2 linked regions of the Alligator mississippiensis genome follow. The protein of the gene in region 1 binds, or shares a complex with, the protein of each later gene. Links are inferred from orthologs where the notes say so. Each region holds a gene or a part of one and is shown on either strand. Other genes may lie near its edges.

What was found.
Region 2: STRAP (region 1) and GEMIN2 share a complex: the UniProt entries of both Homo sapiens proteins name them as parts of the SMN-Sm complex. The link is inferred for Alligator mississippiensis from reciprocal best matches to the Homo sapiens genes STRAP and GEMIN2.

Annotation. Positions count from the first base shown.
Region 1 is NC_081827.1:120,443,156-120,447,069, reverse strand, and holds the start of STRAP (serine-threonine kinase receptor-associated protein), read right to left. Parts: upstream 2,344-3,914; 5' UTR 2,211-2,343; coding exon 2,099-2,210; intron 1,240-2,098; coding exon 1,104-1,239; intron 21-1,103; coding exon 1-20. UniProt on the Homo sapiens protein: The SMN complex catalyzes the assembly of small nuclear ribonucleoproteins (snRNPs), the building blocks of the spliceosome, and thereby plays an important role in the splicing of cellular pre-mRNAs.
Region 2 is NC_081825.1:260,114,480-260,118,393, forward strand, and holds the start of GEMIN2 (gem-associated protein 2), read left to right. Parts: upstream 1-1,092; 5' UTR 1,093-1,107; coding exon 1,108-1,358; intron 1,359-1,536; exon of another isoform or gene 1,537-1,589; coding exon of another isoform or gene 1,590-1,744; intron 1,745-3,061; coding exon 3,062-3,146; intron 3,147-3,914. UniProt on the Homo sapiens protein: The SMN complex catalyzes the assembly of small nuclear ribonucleoproteins (snRNPs), the building blocks of the spliceosome, and thereby plays an important role in the splicing of cellular pre-mRNAs.

The sequences.
Region 1 (3,914 bases):
AAACAGCATCCCATACTTTGCTGAAAGACAGTACAAATACAGTTGTATAGTTACTACTAAGTGCATTGCAACTAAACTAACTATTCAGGTTGCAGCAAGATTTTCCTGAGAACATAATGTAGTGGTTATACATAACTACTACACTCTGGCAACACGTAAAGCCCAACAGTAGAAATGCTTAGTGTTTAAGAACAAATACATCAGAATTTCCAGGGGTGTAGGTTGTAGCCGTGTTGGTCTAAGGACATAGGCAGACAAGGAAGTGTACACACCAACTGCTGAAACTTCCTTATCCAGACAAAGGGTTTTTGAACCTGAAAGCTTGCTTAATAATTGTTTTCCAACTATTTAAGCTGGTCTAATAAAACATATCAAATTCACTCAAAGAACCTTGTCTGCCTTAGAATTTCCATTTCTTTAATTCCTTTGTACCACTCCAAAATAAACAGCCCTTCTCCCTTTAGTAGTAGGTTTGAAAAATGTCTGCCTAAAATTATGAATCACTTGTACATGATCTGCACTCACATTCTTATGAACTATTATACACATACTCTGAGTAGTCTGAACAAAGTTAAGAAAATTGTGTATACAAAAACATTAAGCATGCATGTAAATATTTAGCAAGTTTACAAGAAAATAATTTAACTTGAGAAAAATTAAGTGACAGTAGGTACCAGAAGAAGTCAAATGGGAAAAAAGTAGGTACCAGAAGAAGTCAAATGGGAAAAAAGTGAGAAATGGCAGTTAAAAGAACAAAAAACCCCCCATACTTCTAGAAGACTTTAGCATCCGATATAACTGCAACACAAAAGATTAGAGGCTATCTAAAATTGTTGTTGGTAGACAATTATGTTATTAGTCTATGTCCATAAAAGTAATCCGTTAAGCCATCTCTACAGTTTAACTACCATTACTGTATTACCACAAATATCAACAACCTCACTTTCTATAATTTTTAATACAAGTCTCTGTAAATCGGCCAGGTGTGTAAGAAAGGCAAATATATTTAATGCAGAAACTGCATTTTAAAAAAATTACAAAATTCTAGGATTGCAAACTGAAATCATAATACAGTCAAATTTTAGACATGGTTAATTACTTACGCAGTAAAATCTGCAGCTGCTGTAGCTGCTTTAGTGGCATCCTTGTTCAAAGTGGCACCCCATACGGCACCTTTATGACCCATAAATGTTCCAATCCAGTCTCCTGTGTCACCTTGGCGTAGCATAGGTTTGCCATCTTGGGAAAAAGAAAGATTAACAATCAGATAAAATACATGTACTTAACAATGACTAACAGATCTAAAGAACTCACCCACTACACTCAACTTACTGCTGCTCCTGCCTCTGCGGCACTGTCCCTCACTTCAGGGGCCTCAATCTAGCTCCCACCCCTTCCCTCCCCCATGGATTGACCTGCTGGGCTAGGGCACGCACATGCATGCACACAGGCACTCAGCCCCCCCCCCCCCCCCCCCGCCTCGGATTGGCTCCAAAAGCCTCCAAGATCAACCAGTGGATTGAGATCCACTGGTTGGTGACCACTGACATAGAGGGTCCTCTTAAGGAAGACAATTATTTGGTCAAGGCAATGGGTATGTGCAAAAGATAGTATCCTAAAAAGATACAGAAGAAAGATGTACCCAGGGAAAAATCAGGGACAAGAGGCCATTTGCTGCAATGAATGCACTGCAATCCCGGCAGTGGTGTCAAGCCACAGACACTTTATTCTGAAGGCAGGCACGGGTGGGGCAGGCACCTCTGCAGTCCTCCCATCAGATCCAAATCCAGAACAGAAACAGAACTTTCCTCACAAGCAGGACCTGGGCCTCTGGGGCCCAAGTGGAAAGCAGCCGCCCACGTCCTCCCATTGCCCTAACCAATGGGGCAGCTACGGCCTGGCCTTCCCTCCACCATGTTGACCCTGACCCCCTACCCATGCCTCGTACAGGACACGGGGAGAAGGAAGAAAGGAGAAAGGAGACACCACCCCCCCCCCCCCCCCGCCCCGCGGCCTGGTCGCGAGCGGGGAGGGAAGGACGAGACAAGCCGCGCCCCCCCAGGCCCGGAAGAACACCGCCCCCGCCTCCAGCCCTCACCTTTGCAGGCGCTGATGAGGAAGTAGCCGTAGGGGGTGATTCCGCTGAAGGCCAAGTCCACCACGGGCCGCGTGTGGCCCGAACACGTCAGTGGGGTCTGCCGCATCGCCATGGCGGCGGCGAGCGGGAGAGCGGGCGGCGGCGGGAAGGGGAGACCGCGCGCGCTCGCAAGGACAGGCCACGCGTCGTCAGCCCCCCACTGCCGGGCAGGAAACGGGGAGGTGGCGGAAGTGACAAAGAGGAAGTCGCCGCCGGCGGAAGTGCGTCTCTGTAGGGGAGACCGGAAAATGCGGACTCCCCAACCCCGCTCCACGTGACGACTCAACTTCCGTCACGTGACCGCTCCCTCCTACCCTACCCGCGTTTCCCTGCCCGAGACAAGGGCTCGATAGTGGGCGGGGCCTCGCGCACTAGCCCCTCCCCTGGGGCGGGGGCTGACGCGGCCGTAGTTGGACGCTGTTCGACTTGCAAACAGGGCTCCGAAGCTGCAGCCTGCAGGCCATGCTGTTCTGAAACCTGTGCCGCAGGCGGCCGCCCGCCCACCTCTGCTGCTTTTCTGTCAAAACGTGAAAATAAACCGACGATTCGTTGGGTAAATCTGGCCAACTAAAATGAAGAGACCACATTTACCCAGAGAGCCTTGTCTGCCTGTGTCCTTAGACTAGCGTGGCTACAACACACACCCCTGAACGCAACCTGGCATTTTCTGAGGGAGGGGCGCCATGAATCTAACCAGGCTGAGAAACAGGCGCCCTCCCTTCACGCTCTCTCTTTTTAGCCTGTGGTCCGCCGACCTCCCCCGGCAGACTGGGCACTTTTACCTAGATTTCATAGACATTAGGGCTGGAAGGAACCTTGCCGGATCATCGGGTCCAGCCCCCTGCCCCAGGGGCAGGAAGTCAGTTGGGGTCAGGTGACCCCTGTAAGATAGGCGTCCAGGCATTTCTCAAAGCTATCCGGAGTAGGTGCTTGCACCACTTCTGGTGGGCGTCTATTAGGGCTGTGCAAAACAGCACCTTTTTGTTTCAGTTTCGTTTCGCCTTTTCAAAGGGACAGTGTTTCATTTAGACGTTTCCTTTCAAGCGCGGTTCTGTTTCATTTTGTCAAAACTGTTTCACTGTTCAACGCTGACGCACTTCAACGTTTCGCCCGTCGGCTATAATGGGGACTCACAAAAAATTCCTATAAGTATCATTTTTCGCCTAATTTGAATGAAGACAGCACAGCACATAGCCCCTGCTGAGGCCACAAAGCATGTCAAGTTTCAAGGAGATAAGTGCAGGGGTTTGGGGGAAACTGCACCTCAAACTGTTCAGAGCAAAATTTGTGTCACTTGTAACTGAAGGGCGGGGGGTGAAAACCTCAGGGATGGTAGCCCCTTATGAGACCATGAAGCCTGCCAGGTTTCAAGGAGACAGGTGTAGGGGTTTCTGGGAAACTGCACCTCAGGCAAACTTGTGATGTGTCACTTGGTGTGTGTGTTAAGGTGCGCCCTCACTGGTGCTGGTGCTGGTGTCATCCTACATGACATGGTAGTGTGCCCCAATGAAGTCTCTTCCTCCCCTACAGCCTCATTTCGGTCCACCACTTTAAATAACAACAGGTAAGTAAGCAACACAGTAGCACTAGCATCTCAGGCAGCCAAACTGCGACAGAGCATTTCTTTCTTCTCCTGCAGGAGCTTCTTCTCCCGCAGATGCCAGAGCACTCTCCCTGCCAGCCCTAGCCCTGGGGCTTAGATGTGCCCAGGGCCCTGCCTCCTGGTCAGCTAACCAGGGACAGGTGCTAAGGGGGTTGGTCTAAAGACATGGCACTG
Region 2 (3,914 bases), on another chromosome or scaffold:
AACTCCCAAATGGGACAAATTATGAACACAGTACATTTACTTATGGAAAACTTCTGTTGACTGAAATGGAGCAGGATTTTGTTCTTAAGTACTAGACCTGAAAGAACCACTTGCTAATGCTGAGCTTTATGCACAGGTCCCTAGAATTGTTATTAAAGACTCAGTGGCTTGTTGAAGATTTCATTATTTGGTAGTTATAGATTAATATCACACAACTGCTTGTGCACAATGGTGTTTAATATTTCTTTGTCTAGAACAAAGGCTACCATTTCAAGAAGCTGCATTGAGCATTGTAGAGACCATGATGATTTAAGAGCTTCCTCCTATCCATCCTCAACCACAATCCAACTTTCATTATGGAAGCCCCAAAGATGATGAAAAGATGAAATAAGAATGATTTCTTTAGTAAATATTTTAGCTGACTTTCTGTCATTCATTACTATTCATCCTAGTAGCAAACTGACTGGGTAGATCTGTACAGAACAGGGGTAAAGTGTCAGAAAGGATAGGTGGTCCAGTAACTTGGAGCTACCTTAAGGACTGGGAGACCTACTTTCAAGTCCCCACTCCACTCAACAGCATCTCAGTGCTGCAGTTTCCAATCTGTGAAATGGGGTAACTCCAGACCCCAATGGACAACTCTGCACAGAGTCCTCTTTAACTTCAGAGAGGTCCCTGCAATTATAGGTGAGTCCTCACATGGAACCAAGTGGTAACAGATTAGCAGGGAAAGAATCCATCCCACTTCACCAGAACCCTGCAGGTTCTGCTCTTCTAGTAACATCTGACTTTTATCATTCAAATGAGCACATATGAGTTGGTGTAACTACTGGGAAGTTTAATGAGGTGCTGTGGTATTTTATTAGAGCAACTCAAATAGTTGGAAAAATTCTTCTTTGCAAGCTTTCAGGTACACTTCAGGCAGACACTTCCTCTGCCTGACAAAGGGTATTTGTACTCGAAAGCTTGTAAAGAAGAATGTTTCCATTCACGTTGACCTAATAAAAGATATGTGGTATTTTTAAATCACTCAGGAGCTGACTGCACCATCGTTCACCTCTAGTAATCCTCCTCCCAGGCAGAGTCCCGCTGCGACTAGATAGTGTCATGTTTCTGGGGCCAGTGTGCCCACGCAGCGCGTGGGAGGCCGACCGGAGAGCCCTGACTGAGCTCCCCTCCCTCCGCGCTCCTGCGCTGCAGGGCGCAGGGCCCCGAGCTCGCGCGACAGCCGCGTTGCGGGAAGACCCCGGCACGCCAGGCTGCCCTGCCCACAGCCCCCTGCACGACAGAAGGCGCGGGCCGGTGGTGGGCAACAAGCAGCAGCACCTCCCCCGCGGCCCGGCCGGGGGAGATCGCCAGTAAGTCCCCAGAACGGCCGCGGCGGGCGCTGCAGCTCTAGCCCCAAGCACCGCCCCTTCCCCCGCCAAGGGGCGTCACCACCTTCGAGGCAGAGCCCAGGGGGCGGGGCGGGGCGTACACACCTATACGTTATCTTCACTTTGCGAGTCGCGACTGAGTGACGTCACCGAGCGCGCCCGCCGCTGGTGGCTAGGGGTGGTGTTTGCTATTGTTCGGTGAGTTGCGGGTGGATGACATCATTGAGCGCGCCCGTCCTGGCGGGCATGGAGGCAGGGATGGAGGAGTTGATGCCGCGGCTGCTGCCAGTATGGGACTGCGAGCTCGCCGAGGACTTCGATCCCACCGCGCCCCCGCGGACGCCGCAGGAGTATCTCAAGCGGGTGCAGTAAGTGGGAGCGGGGAGCAGGAGCCGCCCCCCGCTCTGGGGCGAGCGGAGCGGACGGAGACGGGGCCGGGGCTGGGACCGCCCGTCCCACTGCACGTTCTAGCGCCGCCCGCCTCCGCGGGAAGCAGCTCCCCCGAGCTCTGCAGCTGGGCTGGCTCGGAGGGACCCCATGGGAGACTGAAGCACCGGCTTGACCACCGGGAGCCCTTTGCCTTGCCCCGGTGCTGCTGCACCGCCTAGCCTCGTGTCAGTGCCCTGCGGGATGCAGGAGCTAGTGCACTGCATACTGTAGGACCCACTGGGGTCTTTGCCGCAAATCTTCTGAGAGGGAGATGCTCTGGGCTGCATGTCTGGGCAGCACCATCTCACCCTGCTCACTCTCCTCTGGAGCCCCCAAGTGCCACTGTAGTGCCAATAACTGCTGAGTTTGGTGCCAGTGAATGTAACTGCTCTTTCCTTGTTTAAGATCTTGACATTTTTTGTTAACACCAACTTAAATAGAAACTTGCTTGCACACTCCGACACACAATCCGCCCCTCTTCCCCCCCCCCCCCCCCCAACATGACTCAGCCATGTTCATCTGTGTATCAGGGTAGTTTCTCTTAGGACTCTTTGACCCCATGCTGCACATCATGATCTGTTTTCCACCCCCACAGTATTATGTTGGAATTCATAGATGTTGGGGTCAGAAGGGACCTCAATAGATCATCGAGTCAGACCCCCTGCATAAGCAGGAAAGAGCGCTGGGTCTAGACAACCCCAGCTAGATACTCATCTAACCTCCTCTTGAGTAACATGGGAGCATTTGGAGTCTTTATCCAGTTTACTTTAATCAGAAGGATTAAAATGCAATCTTACTAGCTGTATATGTCAATAGGTAATAGCCTTCACTGCTGCCTCCAAAGGAAAGGTGGTCCTGTGGCTAAGGCAGAGAACTCCTGGAGTTGGGGATTTGGGATTCTGCTGACTGCCACAGCTTGGCTCATTTAAAACAAATTAACCTCTGCTCTCATTTTCTCTCTATAAAATGAGGGTATATACCTACTGTGGCCTAAATAGCAAGCTTAAAAGATGCCTGCATTTGTTTCTATTCCGTTTGTTTGTTTCTGTTAAAACCTTGCTGCATACCCTCTCCTAGAAGCATTCTCTCTTCTTTTCATTTTTTAATACATTCTCATACACAACTTAATTGTGCAAGTGCCTCATATTTTGATCTGGTCCCTATGCAAATATTACAACTATTTGCAAACTAATTATGTAATTCTAAGGAATGCAGCAGAGAGGGATTACAAATGTGTGGCGTTTTTTTCTTTTTAGGATTGAAGCTTCACAATGCCCAGATGTTGTTGTGGCACAGATAGACCCCAAAAAGCTGAGAAAGAAGCAGACCGTGAATATTTCAGTAAGTTTGTAGAGATATGTTCTTAAGAGACTTATAGAAAACACAGACTAAAATAAATGAAATGAGAATTCTAGGATAGAAAAATATTTGTATTAAAATACCTGGAAGTCTCAAGTAAATTTTAAAATATACTGTCCCTATATCTTAAAAGAATTTGGACAAGTAAATGGAATCTCCAGCCCTGCAGTCCAAATTCTGAATTGGTGGAAAAACTACAGTCTCTGTAAAACTCAGTTGTTCTAATGTATACCATATTTTCTTCATTCTAATATGAGGGTTCCCCCCACTTCATATAGAGGGAATCCCCTTGTCTTAGAAGTGAATACAAGGACAGAGAGCAGGCAGCTACAGAAGCTAAGACTTCAGCCCAGGCGTGGCCAGAATACAACCCATAGGCTGGATCTGGTCCACCAAGCATTTTATCCAGGTCGTGGCGGGTCACTCAGACCCATCTGGCTGAGGTGCAGGTGGCAGCCTAGGCTTTGGTGCGTGTGGATGGTCCCATCGTCCCCAGGCACACAGTGGGGCTGGGGCAGCGTGGCAGCCAGACTGTTTCCTGGCATCCTTGTTGGTGGCTGCTCTTTCTGGCTGCTACTGCCAATGTTGCCACTGCCACTGGATCCAGCCCTGCTGCCTGGGCATCCTGGTCCATCTACCCCGCACCTATCATTTGGGGGTGCTGGGGCAGGTGGGGTTTCCATAGACACTGGCCTGGGACCTCCATGGACAGGACACACTAGGCTGGGCGGATGGAATGGGGCTGTGGGC